Lonchura striata: one gene and its partners. The main gene of each other region encodes a partner of the protein of the gene in region 2 in a complex. Links are inferred from orthologs where the notes say so. Each region holds a gene or a part of one and is shown on either strand. Other genes may lie near its edges. The genes, in order: GNA11, CRHR2 and UCN.

The links.
Region 1: the proteins of CRHR2 (region 2) and GNA11 are in contact, whole or in part, in a cryo-EM structure (PDB 7TRY), measured with the Homo sapiens proteins. The link is inferred for Lonchura striata from reciprocal best matches to the Homo sapiens genes CRHR2 and GNA11. Residues at the interface, in NP_001874.2 of Homo sapiens: Arg148, Tyr208, Leu209, Ala212, Ile213, Thr216, Glu220, Lys293, Lys307, Ala311, Phe358, Tyr359, Phe362, Asn363; in NP_002058.2 of Homo sapiens: Arg37, Ile348, Leu349, Asn352, Leu353, Glu355, Tyr356, Asn357, Leu358.
Region 3: the proteins of CRHR2 (region 2) and UCN are in contact, whole or in part, in a cryo-EM structure (PDB 7TS0), measured with the Homo sapiens proteins. The link is inferred for Lonchura striata from reciprocal best matches to the Homo sapiens genes CRHR2 and UCN. Residues at the interface, in NP_001874.2 of Homo sapiens: Phe68, Asn69, Gly70, Val71, Tyr73, Ile101, Leu102, Asp103, Asp104, Arg107, Asp110, Tyr113, Leu117, Asn120, Trp166, Leu169, Gln170, Val172, Asp173, His174, His177, Glu178, Thr188, Phe191, Asn192, Phe199, Phe256, Gly257, Lys258, Asp265; in NP_003344.1 of Homo sapiens: Asn84, Pro85, Ser86, Leu87, Ser88, Ile89, Asp90, Leu91, Thr92, Phe93, His94, Leu95, Leu96, Arg97, Thr98, Leu99, Leu100, Leu102, Arg104, Thr105, Ser107, Gln108, Arg111, Ala112, Asn115, Phe119.

The regions. Positions count from the first base shown.
Region 1 is NC_134630.1:4,151,226-4,158,375, reverse strand, and holds the start of GNA11 (guanine nucleotide-binding protein subunit alpha-11), read left to right. Parts: upstream 1-4,056; 5' UTR 4,057-4,085; coding exon 4,086-4,221; intron 4,222-7,150. UniProt on the Homo sapiens protein: Guanine nucleotide-binding proteins (G proteins) function as transducers downstream of G protein-coupled receptors (GPCRs) in numerous signaling cascades.
Region 2 is NC_134603.1:153,230,300-153,237,841, forward strand, and holds the start of CRHR2 (corticotropin-releasing factor receptor 2), read right to left. Parts: upstream 3,026-7,542; 5' UTR 2,371-3,025; coding exon 2,175-2,370; intron 1-2,174. UniProt on the Homo sapiens protein: G-protein coupled receptor for CRH (corticotropin-releasing factor), UCN (urocortin), UCN2 and UCN3. Has high affinity for UCN.
Region 3 is NC_134605.1:113,707,873-113,713,182, reverse strand, and holds UCN (urocortin), read right to left. Parts: upstream 818-5,310; coding exon 518-817; downstream 1-517. Other genes in the region: mitochondrial inner membrane protein Mpv17, read right to left, coding at 4,018-4,087, 4,162-4,214, 4,367-4,399. UniProt on the Homo sapiens protein: Acts in vitro to stimulate the secretion of adrenocorticotropic hormone (ACTH). Binds with high affinity to CRF receptor types 1, 2-alpha, and 2-beta. Plays a role in the establishment of normal hearing thresholds.

The DNA of each region.
Region 1 (7,150 bases), on a different chromosome or scaffold from region 2:
CCTCTTTGATCCCGTTTTATCAGTGACTTGGAATAATTGGGCTCCATCCCTCGTGGTGACTGCCCCCCACCCCTCCCTTCTGCTGTGGCCTGTGTTTTTGCTGCAGACTGATTAGGGGTAATTATCATCCTTTTTACCAGCCAAAGTGCAAGGAGCAGTTCACACTCCTTGCAGGAAGCAGGAAAGGGATTTTGCAGCTGAGCCGTGATTAGGAAGCACATGGCAAGGATGCCTGAAGCTGCTTGCTCCCTGGGTGGTGTCCCTGAGGCATTTGGTGGGAGATAAGCAGGAAATTTGGAGCTGTGAGACAGTCAGGAGGTCCAGGGGAATCCACTGACCCTTTGGTCATGAGAAGCCTCCCAGCACAATCAGTTTGCAGAAGCAGCAGTGTGAATCCCAGACTGAGCTGAAGGGAGTGACCCACAGGGGCTGGAATGGCCAAAGGAGCAGCTTCGTGAGCACCCAGGTGTGCTGTGGGCATGGCCAGGGCTCAGCACTCTCCCCTCTCTCCTCTGCCTCCCTTGCTGGACGAAGGGAGGAGCCAGATACCGATTTTAGGGTCAAAAGGATCACCCAGGCTCCTGTGAGGCAGATTCCTCCTGCTCCTGTGCACCAAATGCACATTTGCAGCAGTTTCTGAGATTTGCACAGGGAAGAGAGATTACTACACCCTTAAGAGACTTTCTGTACTCGGCTAGTTCAGCAGCACTCCTCCAGGTAGGGAGAACATTTCTTCCTGACCTCAATTTATGACAAACACTGAAGCATGAGGCTGGATTGATTGCACAAGGAGATTGTGTCTTAGTAACTTGTGTGAATGCTGCAGCAGCTATGCTAATTCATCATTCCTCTATTTATGAAATCTGTGTGCAGGTTGAGTGCAATTAAATGATGTGTTTTGGGATCGTAGGGGATGAAAGGATCACAGAAAATGTAGGTTTGTTATCCTAGTTTACTGTGCACTGAACCCACCTACAACACCATGACAAACCAGATGTGAAACATAAGGTTTAAAAAAACTAATCCAGCAATTGCTGTCACGGGCTGCATTTGTCAGCTTTGTTTGATCTCAGTGCCTTTCCTCCTCTCTGTTCAGAGAACTCAAATCTTGTGGCATCTTCCTGTGACAGGCAATTGAAGAACTTGTAAAATTAATTTTGGGGGAGGATGAAACATTTGACACGTGCTCTGCAGCTGGGTCCCTGGTCCCCATCAGCACCCAGAGAGAGTCCAGACAAATTCTTCCTTTGAATATCACAAGAGAAGGAGGCTCTGCAACCACTCTGGGCAACCTGTGCTGTGTCAGCAGCACAGGAAAGTTCTTCCTCATGTTCAAGGTGGAACTTGCTGTGCATCAGTTTCTGCTCATTGTCCTGTTGCTCAGCAGCTGAGCAGAAACTGCTCCATCCCCTGGCAGTTCCCTTCAGGTATTTATGGATATTGGAAAAATCCCCTCTTGGTCTTCTCCAGGCTGAGCACACCCAGCTCCCTCAGCCTGGCCAGGATCACCTCCCTGACCTGCTGGCAGTGCCTGCTCCCCTCTGGAACTCACAAACAGCTAAGAAATGGGGCCAGAATGGAGAAAAGAGATGTCACTGTGCAATGTCTGCAGTGCTGCCCACACTATGTGTCTGCATCTCCAGGGGCTTCAGGATCCCATTTCCATGGGCTCTTCCCCTCTGTAAACAAATGGGGCTGATCCCTGGGCTCAGCAGGAGCTGCTGCAAATGTGGGCCATGGGAGCAGTTGCTCTGGAAGTGGCCTGACACGTTCAGGATCAGCTTTCTGCAGGAGCAAGGACATGGAGCCTGGGGAATTGCACAGCACACTGGTGGCAGAGCTGAGGGAAATTCCAGGTCTCCTGGGAGCCCTCTGAGCACCAAAACTTTTCCATTAGGGCAGAAAGAGAGGGAGTGGATGGGCTCTTGTTGCTTGGAGAATGGCAGTTCTGTCATTCTTAAATCACACTTTGATCAGGACTCATCAAAACTCAATGTCTGTGGACCCAAACTTCCCATCAGCAGGAACCAAGGAAGTGGTCCAGAGCTGAGATGCAAATTTTATTGTTCCTTTTCTTTTGGAAAGCTGTGGAAATTTCTTCAGGATCTGCTGGCCTTTAGATTTTGATCCTGCCCAAGAGATGGCAACCAAAACAATAGCTTCCAACACACAGCACCTCGTGGTCCAGAGCAGCCCAGCAATCCCAACCTGGGAACTCTTTAGCAGCCCCAGAGTGTCACCTGTGTCACCCTCACAGCCTGAGGACATGCAGAGGGCTCAGGTGGCTTGCCCAGTCAGGGCAGTGCTGCAGGGTTTTGTAGGAACTTCAGTCTCCTTAAGGACTGTCCAGGAGTTCCAAAGGGCAACAGGTCACAGTGGGAACAGCCACTGTGGCTTGGGTTTTGGTTGTGCTGAGCACTTCTGGTTGCTGAATAATTTTCAGCTGCCAAAGCAAAATGACCACATGGCCTTTGCCAGAGGTGTGTGATGAGTCCTCCTGGCTGTGGGGTACCTGGGAGGGAAAGTAAGAGAATGTAACAGAGGGAGGTCAGCATTGATGCTGTTAAAGGCCAAACTATGAAAAAAAAGAAGTTAGAAACTTATTTTAATTGAGGCAAATAACTCATGGGAATAGCACAGGTATAGGGGAGAAGTTAAGTGGAAAATAGAACCTGTTTGTGAGTATCTTGTGTTTCTGCCTCAGTCAAATTGCCAAGAGATAAGGACTGGCAGACCACTGCAAGAGCCAGGAAGGCAGGTAAGGAACGGCTTCATGGTGCTTTTTTTTTGGACCTTCAAAAAGACTGTTTAGATACAGACCCCAGGCAAGGCAGGGTAAGAGATGCAACCACAGGTGCATGTAAGAGGGGTGTGTGTGTGTGTGTGTGGAGAGTCCAGGTGGCAGGGATTCTGCTTGGGGCAGGGTCCCACAGGGCACAGGGGGGCTGCTCTGACAGATGAGGCTGCACTGGCAGCACAAGGGGCGGCATGAGGGGATGGATGCTCTGACAGATGAGGCTGCACTGGCAGCACAAGAAGGAGCCCAAGGTGTGGCGTGAGGGGATGGAGGCATCGGGCTGCTGGCTGGAGGACCTGTCCCAGGTCAGCAGGCACCTGGTAGGAAGCAGTGAGGGAAGCTGGGATAAAGGCAGCTCTGAGCCGCCCTGTGAGGAGCGATGGGGAGCTCGGGAGGGCTGGGAGGCGGCAGCCCCAGCTCGGGTGGCTGTGCTGGGACACGGCCGCAGCCTGGAGCACAGGGCCGGCCCGGCGAGGCCTCAGCCTGCCCCTGCTCGGCCCGAGGGCCGGGCTGGCGGGGCCTGCGAGCAGAGCCGCGCCCGTCCCACACAGGTCGGGCCCGGCCCGCTCCGGGCTCCCGCCGGGGCTGCGAGCGGTGCGGGACGAGCCGCAACCTCCGCGGCCCGGGCCCGCCCTGTGCCGCCATCCCAGCGGCCGCCAGGGCCCTCCCCGCCCGGCGCGGCCCAACCGCGGGCCGGCAGAGGGCGAGGGGAGGCGGCGGCCCCGCGCCCGGTCACGGCAGGGGCAGGGCCCGGGCCCGGCCCGCCATGGGCGCCCGGTCCGCCACCTTCCCACAATGCTCGGCGGCCCCGCCCCGCTCCAGGAACGCGCGTCCGTGCGCCCTCCCCCCCCCCCGCGCCCGGCCAGCCAAACCCTGCGCTCCCATTGGCCGCGGCGCCGCGTCCCGCCCGTCCGGGCCCGCCCCGCTGCGCGCCGCGCTCTCCCATTGGCCGCCGCCGCCGTCAGTCCGCGCTTGTTTTCGGCGGCAGCGGGTTGGGTTGCGCCGGCTCGTCGGTGTCTCGGCGGAGCCGTGCGGAGGGAGCGGCGGCGCAGCCGGGCGAGAGCGGCGCGGGGGCGGCGGCGGCGGCGCTGGCGCTGGGCCCGGCCGCAGCACTCGGGGCCGGGGCGAGGCCGGGCCGGGCCGGCGCCGCGCAGGGCGGGAGGGTGGGGAGGGAAGGGGGCGCGGGACGCGGGACCGGGCCGGGCCGGGCTCCCGGCCGTGCGGAGAACGGTGGTCGGTGCCGGGGGGGTGGGGGGGTGGGCGGGGGCGTCCCGGCCGCGACGCGACCATGACTCTGGAGTCCATGATGGCCTGTTGCCTGAGCGACGAGGTGAAGGAGTCGAAGCGCATCAACGCCGAGATCGAGAAGCAGCTGCGGAGGGACAAGCGCGACGCGCGCCGCGAGCTGAAGCTGCTGCTGCTGGGTGAGGAGCGCGCCGCCGCTCCGGCCGCGGGGCCCGGCCCGGCGCTCCGCGGGTCCGGCGGCCGGGCCGGGCGGGGAGCGGGTGTGGCGGGGAAGCGGCGGGAGCCATCCCCGCCTGAGCCCGGCGCTCGCGGCCGCTCCCGAGCCGTGCGGGGCGGCCGCCTCATTGGCTGCCCTTTGTTTGATTTTGTGATGCGTTCGCTGTCAAAATGGGTTTTGACACAACCAGGAACTAAGTGGCTGAAATTCCTGGTGGGGAAGGCGGGCACGCACGGGGGCGCGTGAAATTTGTGTGGAGGAAACGATTCTCGGGGAGTGTGCTGGCCTGGGTTAGCGTGTGGCAATCCGCTGGTGGAGTTGGTGCTTTTCAGGATTGTCGGTGGACGTGTGTGGAAAAACGGGCCTGCAGCTCCTGAAGCACGGAGTTTCCCCTGGGGCAGGAGCTGGAGAGGCAGCGGGGCTGGGAGCGCGGCGTGCTGGCTCTGGAGGGGGACGAGGCAGTGGAATGCGGAGTTGTGCGCTGGCTGAGGAGATGCCCGCGCTGTTCAGAGGTGCAGATCACCTGTGCAGCCCAGGAATCTAGGTCTCCGGGTGGGAACAGGAGTGTTCCCTGTGCTGATGGGTAACTGTGCCGTGTTCAGATGAGTTTACAGGGATGGGAAATCGGCTGCAAACTGAGACTCGCAGGCATGTGCCTCCTCCTTCAGCAGTGAGTTTGATGTTCTTCCCTAGATAGCCCCCAAATTTAAACTTCAGTTTCGGTTTTCATGCATGCTGTGATTTAGCACCGCTTGTGTGTCAGATAGATCCTGCTTTGTGTCTTGAATACTGTATTATCTTGAGATGAAATCCTGATGGATCTGTTGACAAGTCATTAAGGTCCAGATGAAGAAGGAGGCTAACCCTTGTTTAAAAAATAACAAACTATTTGCAGAAGTGGGGAGAGGCTGTGTGTGCCCAGCCCCTTGGAGGCTCCAGTACCCCCACTGGTGCCAAGTAAACCCCAGGGCTTTCCTTCTCACCCTGAATCCTTCACAATTAATGGATTGCTGTTCTTTGTGTGAAAGCTAAAATCGAGGGCTTCACATTTCTGCTCTTTGGAGATGCTGTGGCAGTTTCTGTGAGGCTTCCTGGAGAGGAGGGAAGGTGTCCCTCACTCTCATGCTTCCCTAAAAGCAGTCCCACAGAAGCAGCTGTGTCAAAATAGGTTGTCGCTATAGGATAGATCTGGGTTAAGAAGATCCCACTGGATCTAAATATTTCACTTTAGAAATAATTCAAATTGCTCAAGAATCCTTTCTGCTTTTCTAAAAGATACAGATTCAGCATTAGACTAAAAAAAAGCATATAGAAGGTGGTTATTGTTGGATAAGCAACACTCCTAGGTGTAGACAATTTTTGCAGGATGCTTGTCACTGGACACAGCACGTTGCCCACCTTCAGCTGGCACAGGTGACCTGTGTTCTCTCTCCCTGCTTGCAGGGATTTCTTCCGTGTTGCTCCTGTTCTATGGAGTTCTTATATTCACAAGTATTAATGATTGACTTAGTGAGAGGGCTTTCCCAAAATCTCCAAAATTTTGAGTGTGAGGAGGGAGTTTCCACCTTGTAGAAACGGTTAAATTTTTCCTGTCACTACATCTGGTGACAGTTACTTTGTTGAAGCCTTAACCAGAAAATTGAGGTGAGGAATAACAGTGCTAATCAATGATGAACCTGTTAATAAGAAATTCAAGGTGTTGGACATTGCCATCTGGTACAAGGTAGTAATTTGTCTTTTTACTGGATGGGGAGGATATTTTGTACAAAATTACTTGTGATTAAGCATGGGTTACTGTTGACTGAGCAGTGTATTTACTAGGGGATCATTAGGAAGTTATTGTAAACTCCGCTGCTTTCACGAGTTGGCAGATGAAGTGGTGAATTCAGATTATCTCCTATCATATTAAAAAAGGATTTTGCGCCCTGAGAGTTGTAGATCTTGCCCACCAGAGCTCGTAACCTGCTGGTGTAGTACTGTGCCTCAGGGAAAGCAAAAGACAACTTAGAAAATCCCAAAACCAAACCAAGAACCCACCACCAATAACCAAAACCAACCCTCAAACCAAAAAAGGGCAGTGATGATGGAGTGATAGGAAGAATCTGTGTTTGAACTCTTAAATCCTGAAGCAAGCCAAGGTCTGGTGCTGAGGTTTCTCTTACATTTTCATTGTTGAAATGCTTTGAAGCACCGCCTTTTTTTTTTTTTTTTTTCTCAGTTTTGGTCACTGTGGTAAAAGACAAGGAAGTATTTCTCACCACACTGACAGAAACCACAAAAGATCTCAGTTTCCAGTTTTTTCCCCACTTAGGGTGCACCTTTGTGTTCAAGATGGAGATAGTTTGCTGCATATTGATAATGTCTACAGTGTTAATTTCTGGCTGTGCTGACGTGATTTCTGTCAGTTCTTCCTGTTCATTTCGAGCATTCTGCTTCTAGTTAGGTGCTTGTTGCTTTTATCTGAGCATTTTTATTTGTTTGCCTTTTAGCCTACCAAGATAAAATGAGTAACTGAGTAGCTACATGCGAGTATTAATTGTGTACTGGGATGAATGAAATCCTGTCTGAATCCATCTCTCCCCTGGTGTGAGGAGGATCTGGTGGTGCCTGTGGAGAGAGCCAGGGCTCTGCCAACATTTTAACTCCAGGTCAAAAGGATTTGTATCACTGACATGATATATTTTGAGTTTTTGGTCTCTCTAGTCAGGTGAGCTGGGCCACTGTGCTAGAGAGGTGTGAGTTTTTTATCAATATCCTGCATAATGATAGCAAATTTTAGAAGATTGAACAAAAGCACTCCACAGAGGTGTAGTGCTGTCCATTTAGGCTGCTGAAATGTGGAGGTGAGCTCATCCCAGGTGAGACCTGGCCTGGGTGTCCCCTCCACAAAG
Region 2 (7,542 bases):
AGGGAAGATAACTAATTACAAAGCTTAATGTTTACTGTTCTCCCAGCTAAATAAAGATTGTTCAATATGGCTCTCCTTGGGTTTCTTCTCTTGATTTCTTTTTCCCTTCTAAAACATATCTGCAGTGTGTCAAAGAACAGGAGCCAGAGAAAATATTCAGACACTGCAGGCTCTGTGGTCTGGTTCTCTCCATCCACGCTGCTGAATGGAGCTCACCAATGTTCCCATGTGACACATCCTTGTCATTACCAGGGTTCAAAATGAGGCTTGCAACACAGCTCACCTCATTTTGGACACTGAAATATTAGAGCAGACTTAGTTACAGAAGCTCATTATCCTTGGACCCCAATAATGAAAAAGCATTTAGTTTCTGCTCCATTTTAGGTTTTAATTTAGGATTAAATCATGCTTTGGTCTTTAGCTGTACCAGTAGAGCTCTACTGACCATGAAGAGGTGGTGATTATATTGGAGACCTCCATTTTTTTAATGAGACATTTCATAGCTGAATAGCCCAGACTGTTTGGAAATCCAGTTTTCATGGAGCACAAAAAAAATCAATCATGGGAACCACCATGTTCTTGTTGATGACCAGCCACCCTGAGAAAAGAACACTGGTCCATGCTAAGAAAAAACATTAATTTTTGTCCCTAGGGTGTCCCAAAGTTCACTTCATACTTACACCTGAGGCTCACCATGGAGCAGATTTGAGGTTTACTATATTTTACTATATTTAGGGTTTATTACATTTATAAATCCACTCTCAAAGCACAGTACAGGTTCTCAGGATTTTAAAGTATCATAGAAAGTTTGTTCTAAAAAAGCTGCAGGTTAGACCAACTATAAATATCAACTTCCATTAATTTCAGAGCATTGCTTTACCTATGATCAGTGATACCTCACAAAGATAGTGGAATAGAAGAGAGGGTTCTGAAGCTTCTCCCTTCCCTTTTCCCATTAAAATTCTGTTCCAGTAGCCACACTCCACTGGAAAATATGCCGTGTGTTCATGCATCACATAAACAGTCCAGAAAATTATATTTTGTCAACAACTGAAAAATAAATTGTTTGCTGACTTCTAAGACAGCCTGGCATGAAATTTGTGGGTTTTTTTCTAAAACAGAAGCTCTGCACAAGGAAAAACACTTCATGAATAAATGGCAAGTTTTACAACAATATTTACAAACACATTCAAAAGGCAAAGAACACCTAAAAGAAGGGTCCAAATATGGAACCTCATTTATCTTTCCTTTGTTTCCAGCTAAGGAATGGAATAGATGGTCATTAAACTGATATAAACAAATCTGCTCCCTGGAACACAGTGGCACCAAGGGGCAGAGCTTGGGGCAGATTCATAATACAGGTCAACACACCCATTTATATGCAAATTGAGAGGCAGTTAAGGCACCACAACTTTCACACTTCAGCCTGATATCCAGATCAACCTATGGTCCTGAAGGAATTAAGTCAGAATAAAACACCACTGATCCAACACATTTTACAGAAAGATTTTTAATTCCCTGAGCCTCATTTCCTTTGCTGTTTCCCAGGGATGGACGCCTGGCTGAATGATAACACTTACATTATATCTTAAGCTCTTTTCCTCCATGAATATTCACCAGGGGGAAAAAGAAAGTGAAGAGGAAGGGAAGAAATTTAGTTTTTTCCCCAGAAGCACCATTCATTGCAGCACACCCCCCCAAGTCATGCTGCAGAGGAGGGTGGCTCTGAGTGTGCTTCTCCCCCTTCTGAAAGAAAGCTGGATCCAGTTTCACATCTCTTACAGCATCATTTTTGTGCTGGCGTATTTTAGCCAAGAGACAAGTGCTTTGCCCTGCTTCTATAAACTGGTCTGGATAAATGGACAAGACACTTCAACTATACTAATTAATTCAACTATACTAATCTTCAACTACCACACCAGTCAGTAAGTACAGCTAATTCAACTGATTAAGCTCTGAGAAAGGGCTGTCAGCAGTTCCTCTGAAGCTCTCTCCAGGTGTGCAAAATTCCAAGTTCTCCTTCCTCGTCACATCACTGCACATTGTCACCAAGGAAAAGCCAAGCTGGAGACAGTATGTTTATCTCAGCAGGAGAAGATGTTCCTGGAGCAAGGGCACTTTGAAAGTGGATCCTCCAGTAACAAGAAGCCACCAAGAAACAGAGGAGTAAATACCTGTGACATTGGTGCGGGCTGACAAAGCTTCGCAGTACTTTTCCAGCAGAACAGACAAGGGCAGGTTCACAGAGGATTCACAGTGGAGAACTATCTGGATAAACAGAAAGAAACCAAGCAGGTAAAGCAGCAACCTAGAACAGATTTTCTCTTTCATGAGTACAACAAGCCCCAGCAGTCTCAGAGCAGTTCCCATTCATGATTTATTCAGGCACAGACACCCACTGATACAGAAGGTTTGTGGTTGTACTTGCTCGGCTCCAGGGCATCACATGGAATTCACCTGACTAAAGCAGGAAACTGCAAATTAAGCACCTATTCTGGATCTCTCCTTGTGGGAGCTGCTCAGTGCCTTTAACAAAGCTCAGGATCCCCTTTGTCTCATCACCTGAAAGTAGATGCCTGAAACAGCAGAGCTGAATCACATCATCACATCCCATTAAAGATTGTGTTGAGTTTTTTCAGTTAAAGATTGTGTGTTGAGTTTTTTCAGTGAACTTTTAATTGATATGTAGGTGCCAAAGATCCTTGCACATTCAAGAGATACAGCAATTGGCAAAGGGCAGTTCAGAGGGCTTGAATAAAGTGTTTCCATGGAATGTATAGGATAATTTGGCATCCCTGTAAGGTGTCTTGTGGCTCTTTTTAGCCAATGGAAGACACACAAGTTTCTGACCCTCAGCATTTAGGGCTGAGCCTTCCACTGAGGGCAAATAACAGTGAGAAAGAGCAGAAATGCCAACATGGGCACTTTGAGAAAGCTGCAGGTTCAGTACAAGGTAGCAGTACAACCCCAAGTAAAATTTAGGGAATAGAGTTGAAAATCAATGGGAATATTTAATTTTCACACTCAAAATAAAGCACCCAGTGCAGACAGAGGAGAGAAGACTACACCAAACTATAGAGCCAAGTTGGGATCCTGCTTGGAGCAAGGGAAGCTCTTGGAAAGTCCTTTAAGAAAGGTAGGACGAAATGTGACAGGAAAATTCAGGAGTGACAGATCAATGACAGAAAATCCAATTTTCAAACTATGAAACAAAATCTTTCTGACTGTTTCTGAGATGGATATAAAGCCATGGTAACACACAAAATGCCTTTGCTTTTCTGTTTACACAGAATGACTCCAACAAAATTCAGGCAGCTTTTACTCAGGGAAACAACCATACTCTAAAGGTTGATACTATATTTCAGTGCCCTAAGGTGTGTTAAGTGATTGAGGAACCCATTTTTTAGGTCACTGAATTCTCTCACTTAATAAAAAGGACGGTAAGTGCTCAGGACAATAGAATCCATCAGCAATCTCTCTAAAGAACAACTGTTCTTTGTACAGCACCTTTTTCTACCTAGTTCTCACTTTGCTGTTATTTTATAAAATAGGAAGCATTGAAGTACAAACAGAAAACCTTTCCCAGATTTCATTCTTTTCATACCAACTCCATGAAGGGGCTGTTTCTCCTCCACGTGTGAGGATGTGTGAAGAATTTTGAATTAGTTAGAGACATGACTTCTAAGTTGTTTCAGATAATGTGATTTATTTTTCTTATCTTTTACATAGGTAGGAAAGGTGAGTTCAGATCATATCTCCACCACATAACTCAAAAAGTCCCAAAACTTCTAGTTACAAGACCTTTTAAAGATTTATTAACTAACATAACAGTACTAACAAAGATATTTATATTTTTGACCTAATTCTTAAGTATTTTGTTTTATAGACTCATACCAGTGTAAGCTTTTTAAATTAATCATGTTATAACACACAAACTTAGAGTTCCATACTTTAAAACTTTAAACTTTCTTCTACTTAACATACCTCTGCTTTTAACTACATTCTCACTTGTAGCACCTAAGTTTAAAGTCTCAGATCAAATTTTGTGTTTAATCCTAAACTTTGCCTTACAGGCCCAAAGTTCTGAGAATTCCCTGCATTTCAAATTCCAGCACCCAGGGAGGCTCAGAACTCCTGCCTCCCGTGGCAGGACCTCCATGCACGGTCAGGTCAGGGAGACAAAGCCAGGTGCAGATTCCACCTCCGGAGGCTCGGAGCTCCCAAACCTCAGACTCTGCAGTGGCCACGTCTCCTGCCAGATCCAGGCATGTTGACACAGCAGAGGCATTTCTTCCCTTCCACCCCTCACCCCTCTGCCACCTCCCAGGCCAAAGCACTGCCTCACTTCAAAGAAGAAACTCAAGCCATCCCCGTGCACTGTAAATACGCCGCGTGTTCAGCTGTGCCCTCCCCAGGACGATGGGAAAGCACAGACAGAGGTCAAGCTCAGCACAGCTTGGGCAGGAGTAGGAAAGGTTAAATGTCACATTTGCCTTAGGGTTCAGCTCAGGTTAATTTGGCTGGGGGGAAAAGTGCTTTCCACATATTATGTTACTTTTGGTTTCATTTTCTCTCCACAGTCAACAGCCTTGCTGTGCGTGAAACTTTTTTCTTTTAAAAATTGTATTTAAAGCAGATAAACCCAAATTATGACTCAGGTTTATATTTTTATATTTTTCAGATTCTGTTCTGCTTCAGTGTGCAGTTCTGAGCTTCGTACCAGGGGATGCTGAGCTCTGTGCACAGAGCAGGGACACAAAACAATTCCTGCTCCAGCTGGGCACCAAGGACAAATGATCCAAACCTCAGCCCAGGAGCACAAACACCGTGGGCTGGAGAGAGAAAAACAAGCAGGGTGGGACTGCCTGGGCTGGAGCTGGAATGGGACAATGAACTCCAAGGTGCCAATGGAGCAGAACTGATCCTAGGGAGAGCCCCGGGAGCGCTCGTGCATTTTGGGACCATTTTGGGTCATTTGGGTGCAGCCCTGGCTGGGCTCTGGTGCTGCCCAAGGTGGATCCATGGAGGAGATCCTTTGAATAAATCCCTGCTTTATTCTTTAGCTCTGTCCAGCCTCTGTTCTTAGGGCAGCCTTGAAAAACTCCTCTTACAATAATAAAAAAATGGAAAAACAAAGAAAGAACAAGAAAAAATTCAGTAATATAGAATTGTAAAGATAAATAATTGGGCCCATGACTGTGCAGAAATTATATTTTGAAGTACTGAAATAATCGCTTTGGGTCACTAATGCGTGACTTTTCTCAAACTGCATTTCTCTTGAAACAGCTATTCCATCACCTCTGTCCACCAAATCACTTCTTTTCTGTCCTGAAAATTTACCTAAATCATGCACAGAAATGTCCAACTTAATTCCTCAGAGCCGCTGTGGACATTTATGAACAAATAAAACTAATGTGCTGCGCCAAAGACTGAGGTGGAAATTAATCCTTTACTTTCCAAAGCAGGGACACCAACTAAGAGCAGGCCAGCTCTGAGTCTTCAGAAAAAAAAAAAATACAGAGCCTTTGGTTGACTTCCCGTTCACATCTGAGAGGATTTTGGGAAAAAGATGAGTTACTCTGGTGTGGCACTCTCTGCCTCTCTCATGGGCATTTTGTTGGATCTTTCCCCTTGGACATGGTCACTGCTCTTCATTAATTCATGAAAGATCTTTATCTCTGTCAGAGGACATCAACTACGAGACACAAGAGTTGCCTATTCTCAGTTTCCACCAGCATTTGTGGTTATTCCATCCAGGTAAGAGAGGATTTGTAACTTCATTTAAAGAAGAATTAACAAAGAGTCCTGGCTCGAAATACAGAGTTCCTCTGTGAAGCAATATAGAAATATAAAACCAAATTAACATCAGTGCTTTAAAATTCATGGAAGAGGTTGTTTTCTCTTCTGAAACATGGAAGAAATGGCTACAGGAATATAAAGGAATGACTTCAGAATAAAAACCAGCCCCCAAATCTATGGATAGGATCCAAAAATGTCAACACAAGCATGGGGCTACCACAGAGACACAATGGAGCATCTGGTAATTTTAAATATCTCACAGTAGGCAGCAGCAGAGGGAAGTTAGCAGGAATGCAAGCTGAAGGGAAGGACTGAAGAGGAAAAGGATGACCCATGACAGTGGAACACCCTTGCCAAGGCGGAGGTGAGTTTGGAGGCAGTGGATGGACAGATGCACACACTCCCCTTTCCCACCCTCACACAAGAATTCCCAGATGCCACATGGCTCTAATAAAAGCCAGTTGTTAGGCCTCCCTGTCAAACATCTGCTGGTGGCATGCTGAGAGGTGCTGACATCTGACACAGCCTCAAAGCAATAGAGCAAAAACTGTTTGTTAAAAAAATGTAGTTTCTAGTACTCCCGAGGCCCCAGAGAAATCCATCCCATGGAAGGACAAGAGCATCTCAGCAGAAAGCCACTCCCAGAAAAGCAGTGGGATTTAGACTTCAAAACAGAGAGAGCAGCAGCTGAGCTGGTCACACAGGGATTCTTTTGGAATTCAGGAAGAGAAGCAGGAATTTTCCAGATGCAGTTCATCTGCGGTATTTTAAATCTTTAAATTGGAATGACCTCCACTGACTGCATCAGCTGGGTCTTATGTACTGTAGGACAGAGTCACTTAGATGCATCCTTCCTAAATTTTCTTTAGACTACATGCAAAAGGAGAGATCAAAACATTCCTAGAGATGATGGCTGCAGGAAGACACGAGCACATGACAATTTTATTTAATCATCTGTGCTCTTTCTTTTACTGAGCAAGATGAATTGACCTTCCAACATGGAAAAATGTTGGAGTTATCAACACAAAATGTGCTCAGTCCACAGCTGACAAGAAGAGGGTCCATCTCACATCTTCTTTGCCACACAAAATCTCACCCTGCACTGTTCACTGTGCTCTCTATAAAGACAAAGCATTTTCCACTCCTGAGAAACCACCTGGCGTGGATTATGTCAGGAGGATGCTTCTTCCTACCCTTCATCTCTGGGAACCTCCACTGCTCTCAAGACTCCAGCTTTTCCCATGTATTTCTTTAAAATATCCGAGGCTGCAAATGCTACCTTGTTTCAACATCAAAATTGCAGCAAAACTGTCTTTAGCACACAGAAAAGCTGCTGCTTAGTAGCTTTGCCCCAGAACTCAGCGAAAAAAAAAGTTCGAGTGCAAGAGAAAAGGGAAAACTGCATTTAATTTTTAGTTCTTCAATTAGGCAATGCAAATAAATTCACTCCATCTCCACAATGAGACTGAGTTCTCACCCCAACTTCTGGGATGGAAATGCTCAGAGCAGTGGCCCAATTAAAAGCAAAATTCTAGTTTGTGTGCAGAGAAGCTCATCTTAGGGAAACACAGGCTTCTAACTTCACAATGAAAATGTAGTTAGTGAAAGAGCTCAACTCAGCAAAATCAAAGTGAATCCCACATTTCCTTGACAAAATCCATCCTCTGTTTGAACACAGTTTCCAGGGCAGGTGGGCATCTGGCAAGTTCTGCATCACTGGTGGGGAGAAACAGAGGCTTTGGG
Region 3 (5,310 bases), on a different chromosome or scaffold from region 2:
CCCTTAGTCCCTTTCCAGTGAGCCCTTTCCCTATTCCCAGTGAGTCTGTTTGTCCCTTCCTGGTAAACCCATTCCACCACTCCCAATGAGTTGTTTCCCCATCCCTGGTGAGCCCCCTCTTCATTCCTCATAAACCCATTCCCCATTCCTGATGAGCCCATTACCTTGCTCCCACTGAGCCTCTTTCCCTGTTCCCACTGAGCCTCTTTCCCCATTCCCCATTTCCAGTGAGCACATTCCCAGTTTGCCCAGTCCCTGGTCCTGCACAGCCCCAGCTGCCCCCACCCCTCACTCGCTCACGCCTCGGGTTTCCACCACGTTTTATTACAAAATCGGTGCGGACCGGTGCCGGGCCGGTTCCGCTCCCGCTCGCCGCAGCGCTGGGGCTGAGGCGGGCTCAGCCCGTGCCGGTGTTGGTGCCGAGCGCCGCACAGTGCAGGGGCCAGGGTGGCTGGAGGCCGGTGCAGCCCGGGGTCATGGGGGGTTCGGGGTGTCCGGGGATGCCGGGGTCTGGGGTTCAGCGCCCCACGGCGTCGAGGATGCGGCGATTGGAATCGGCGCGGGCGCGCTGGCTCTGGGCGCGGGCGAGCAGCAAGAGGTGCCGCAGGAGGTGGAACGTGAGGTCGATGGAGAGCGGCGGCTCGTCCCGCCGCCCTCGCCACGGCCCCGGGGGCGGCGGCGCCAGCGGCGGCCAGAGCGGCTGGTCCTGAGCCCCGGTCCCGGCCGCCGGGATGGAGCCGTCGGTGGTGGCGGGGCGGGCGGCGGCGGGCGGCGGGCGGGCGAGCAGCAGCAGGAGGGTGAGCAGTGCCCGCCGCATCCTCGCTCCTTCTGCACCTACGGGGCAGGGGCTTAGCGCCGCAGCAGAGACTGGGGCGGCGGCGGAGGCCCGACGGGAACCGCGGCCCCGGCGGCGCGGGGACGGTCCCGGGCGCGGAGCCCCCTCCCGCCCCGTTCCGCCCCCTCTGCGCGCCCCGGCCCCGGTGCCGTCCCTGCCCGGTCCCCAAGCCCCGTCCCGTACCCGGTGCGCTGTGCCCGTGCCCTGTTCCTGCCGGTGCTGGCGGCGCGGCGAGCGATCCGTCCCGCGGGAGCTGAGCCGGCGGCGCGGCCGGGGGTTATATCGGCCCGGGAGCCCGGGCTGACGTCAGCGCCGGGCACGCACCGGGCGGCGGGGGCGGGGGAGAGGGGGCACCGGAGCGGCGGGGAGCGGGCACCCGGCGGCGGGACGGGCTTGAGGGACGGAGGGGCGGAGAGGCAGAGCCCGCTCTCGCCGGTTTCGGGAGCCACCTCTCCGATTCTTTTCTGACGCCCACCAGAGAGGCACGGCGGGGCCGGGGCCGGTGAGAGCAGGTGCCTTGGGCCGTGCTAACCCTCGCTTCCCCTGTCCCCCGGTTTCCCGGTCGCCCCGTTCCCTCTCCCGGCTCTGCCGCATCTCCGGCCTCATTCTCCGCCGCTGTCCGCGGTGCTGAACGGCCGGGACGCGCTGGGGCACCGGGGCCGGTGGGCTGTACAGGTGAGCTCCCGGTGAGCCCTCAGTGAGCTGTACGGGGCTAGCCGCGGCTTCTCGGCGTGGAGCCCTTGCGTTCCCGGGCGGAACGGCCGCGTCGAGCAGCGGCGTCCAAGCAGCGATCGGGGCGGGAGGGACTCCTGGGCGGAGGTGGGGATACCCCAAGCACCGGCAGCTCCGGGACGGGGCGGTCACGGGTGGGACCCCCAGCCTGGCCGTGGCTCAGCGTCCCGGGCGGAGCGGGCGGTGCCGAGGTCGAACCGCGGGGCCGAGGCCGCAGACGCCCCGAGCGCAGCGGCGGCATCGGCCAAGTCCTGTGAGTCATAGAATGAAGGCACCGGAGCTGGCAGCGCCGTGCTGGATTCAGGGTGTTCCGTCGGGGCACCGGCACCGCTGCCAAATGGTGAGGTGGCTGCTGGGGCTCCACACTACTGCCGGCATCCCCCCGAGCGCTCCCCACCGCTGCCGGCAGCCCCCGAGCGTCCTGCGGCTGCCGGCCGAGCGTAGCCGAGCTGACACCCAGCGCCGACGCTGCTACAGGGGCAGAGCAGCGGGGCAGTGCCGGTGCGGGGCACAGCCGGGCACAGGGGCTCAGCCCGGCCCCTCGCACGGTGTGTCCCACCCCGGGTGGCACAGGGGCGGCGGGGCACGGCCCTGCCCGCAGCGAGCAGCACACGGTGTCGTGCCCCCATGACGTGATCCGGCATGAAGGCTGGCACCGGGCACCGCCTCCTGCAGCGGCAGGGCAGAGCCCTCAGCAGGGGCTGGGCTCAGCCCCCCGAGCCCTGGCAGCCCCATGCTGGGGCGGCTGCTCCTGGGGACAAGTGGCTCATTCCACGTGGCTCTTGCCATGCTCGCAGCTCTCATTGCTGACAGAGAGAGCCTCCAGCACCCCCAGAGGGAGCTGCAAGAGGCTCAACACCTCAGAGCTGCAAATTCCTGCCACCCACAGCACCCACCCCACTGGCTGTAGAGGACTTGAGCCCCACACAGAACCCCCCAAGTACTGGTGCCATCCGTGCATGGCCCCATCACCTGGCCCCAGCCCTGTGCTGCCCCATTGAGCACTGCTGGGGGAAAGGGGGCTGCAGCTGCAGCCCCTCCAGTCCCCTGCCTCACCCCTCAGCACTGTGCAGGATTTGCCTCCTCTGTATTCCAGGTTGTATCCACCCGGCCGGAGCAGCCCCAAAGCTGGGGCCAGCACAGAACCAGACCATGGGGAGGATGAGGGTGGAGGACAGACGGTAGCACCCTCCATGAAGGCCATGCTGGCAGGGCCCCGCTGGCTCTGTCCAGCTGTGTGGGGCTGCAGGAGCACAGGTGAGGGGGCCAGGGCCCAGGGCTCCACAGAAATGGGAGGAACCCCCACGGTGCCACCAGCTCCACTTGGAGCCCCTGGTTGGGATGTGCTGGGCAGGAACACTGTGGGAGCTGGACGCTGTGAGTGTGCGACACTGTGTGCTCGCTGCCACTGCAGGATGAGCGTGGACACACATCCCCAGGGGCAGCAGCACAGGCAGTGGCAGCTCCACGGGGCTTCTCTCTGGCATGACAGGCAGGCTTGTCTCAGACATGGCACAGGTGGATTGTGGCCCTGGCCCAAATCCAGCTCCAGCCCTACCCCCAACCCTTTCTGGACCCTCCCCAGATGCACAGCCTTGTACCAAGCAAGCCCTGACCCTGGGGGGACTCTGCACCCAGCATCAGGACTTCGGCTCCATCGACCTCATTCCAATGCTCTGCAGCTGCGGAAGGACCATCACAGCCCATGGAACAGCTTCAGTAGCACCTGATGAACCCCTAAACCACCACCCACCCTCTGTCAGAGTCCCCTCCCCTCTCTATCCGGTGGGGCAGACCACCCCAGCCCGCAACCCCTAGCCCCATGCTCAGTGCCTTGACATGAGGTAGAGTGGACCTGTTGATCCTTAACAGGACAGTTGCCCTGGAACAGCACTTTCAGGGCCTGGGGGCATGCTGGCCACAAGCCCCAGGGCCCCAGGAATCAAAAGTGAAGACAACTGTTTATTGATGCTTTGACTGTCCACAGCAGAGCCACAGCAAACCCTGTTTTCAGGGGAAGCATCCCCAGCCTGCAGTGAGCCCAGTTCTGCGCCCACAGCACAGCCAGCCCAGGCCAGCCCTGCTCCATTTCCACTCCTCTTTTCCCTCGGGATGTGCTGTGGGGAAGGTCAGAGTGACACTCAGGACAGGAGCACCCCGTGTGCAGGGCTTGGAAATGGCTGAGCACAGAGAGAGAAGTGCACCGTGGGCAGAGTCGCTGCACAGCATGGCTGGAGCAGATCCAGGCCTGTCCTGGCACCATCTTCTCCTTGGGGCAGGAGGCCGTGGCCATAGGGGATGGTGTTCCCCTGAGAAAAGCGCAGGATGGCTGCTGCAGGACCCCGTGTATCCCAGCCTGCCCACGGCCATGCGTGCCCATGGCCAGGGCTCCGAGTTGTGCTGGTCTGGAGCGCACAGGCCGGGCACAGGCACAGGACACGGATTGTGCCTCACATCCGATTCGCTTTCCAGGACAGGTAGCAGTTCCAGACGATGGCAACACATTGGACAACAGCCAGCCTGGGGACAGAGGAACAGGGTCTGCAGCTGCCGGCTCAGGGGGCACGGACTGGGCACCAGGGCCGCAACACTACCTGTGCTGCAGAGGCACGAAGTAGAAGTTCGCAATTTGCACGGGTGGCCAGATCTGGGCAGAGAAGAGGAGGAGCGGTGAGGAGCCCTGCCAGGGTCCCTGTCCCACACCCACCCCTGCCTGGCACTCAGGGTGTCCCACAGAGCCCACGGCAGCCCCATGGAGGAAACGGACAGGGACAGGGACACAGATGTGCGAGCACTCACACAGTAATTGGTCATCAGGGCATCCATGTAGTCCTGGAAGAAAAAGGAGCTGTGAGCACTCAGGGCCCCCATCCTTGCCGCTGGTGCCCTAACTCCACACTGGAGTCCTCCACACTGCTGGGCACGGAGCCCCTGCAGCCCTGCCCATGCCTTCCCAGAGCCATGAGGGTGGCAGGGAGAGGGTGACCAGAACCATCCCCACTGAGAGCCCTTCGTGCCATAGCCAGGGCACATGGGCCCATGGCTTGGCCCCCCAGTGTGGGCTGTGAGCCCCTTTCCAGCTCAGTGCTCCCCCAGACCCCTCCTGGGCACCACATGGCAGAAACGGAGAGGGGCACTGAGCTGGGGCAGCTGCTCCAGGAGTCCAAGGTGCCGCCTTGTCCTCGTGCCACAGCCACGGCCGTGTCGCATCCCTGTCCCGTGGCAGCAGGACAAGTCCCTCCTGCAGCTTGGCCGTGACTCAGCCAGGAGGCCGGGCTCCTCCTGGCGCTGGCCAGCAGCCCAGGACGGGGTGAGCGGGCGCGGGGTGATGGATGCTCTGCTGACGCTTCCTCTGCGTGGGGAGAGGCGGATGCGCCCCAAGCCAGGGGTGAAGGTGCTGCCAGCACTGCTGCCCATCCCCAGCCCATCAGCCCCTTCCAGGCCAGGGCTCCCAGGAGCCACAGCTCACACGAATCACCAACCACGGCAGGATTCCCTGGGGAAGGCAAGGCAGATCCATGGCACGAGCTGGTCAGGATGCAGCAGGGGAAGATGGATGGGAGCACTCAGAGTGCTGCCTGTGCCCACGATCTGTTCACGCGTGCCCTTAGGGTGCCTTGGAGCACCCCATGCCCAGCTGTAGCTTGCATAGAGCCTGACAAAAGCAGAGGTGATGTGATCCCGCCCTGGGATCTCCTTCCTGCGCTCTGGGGCGGGATGAGGGGCACATGCTGGCAGCCCAG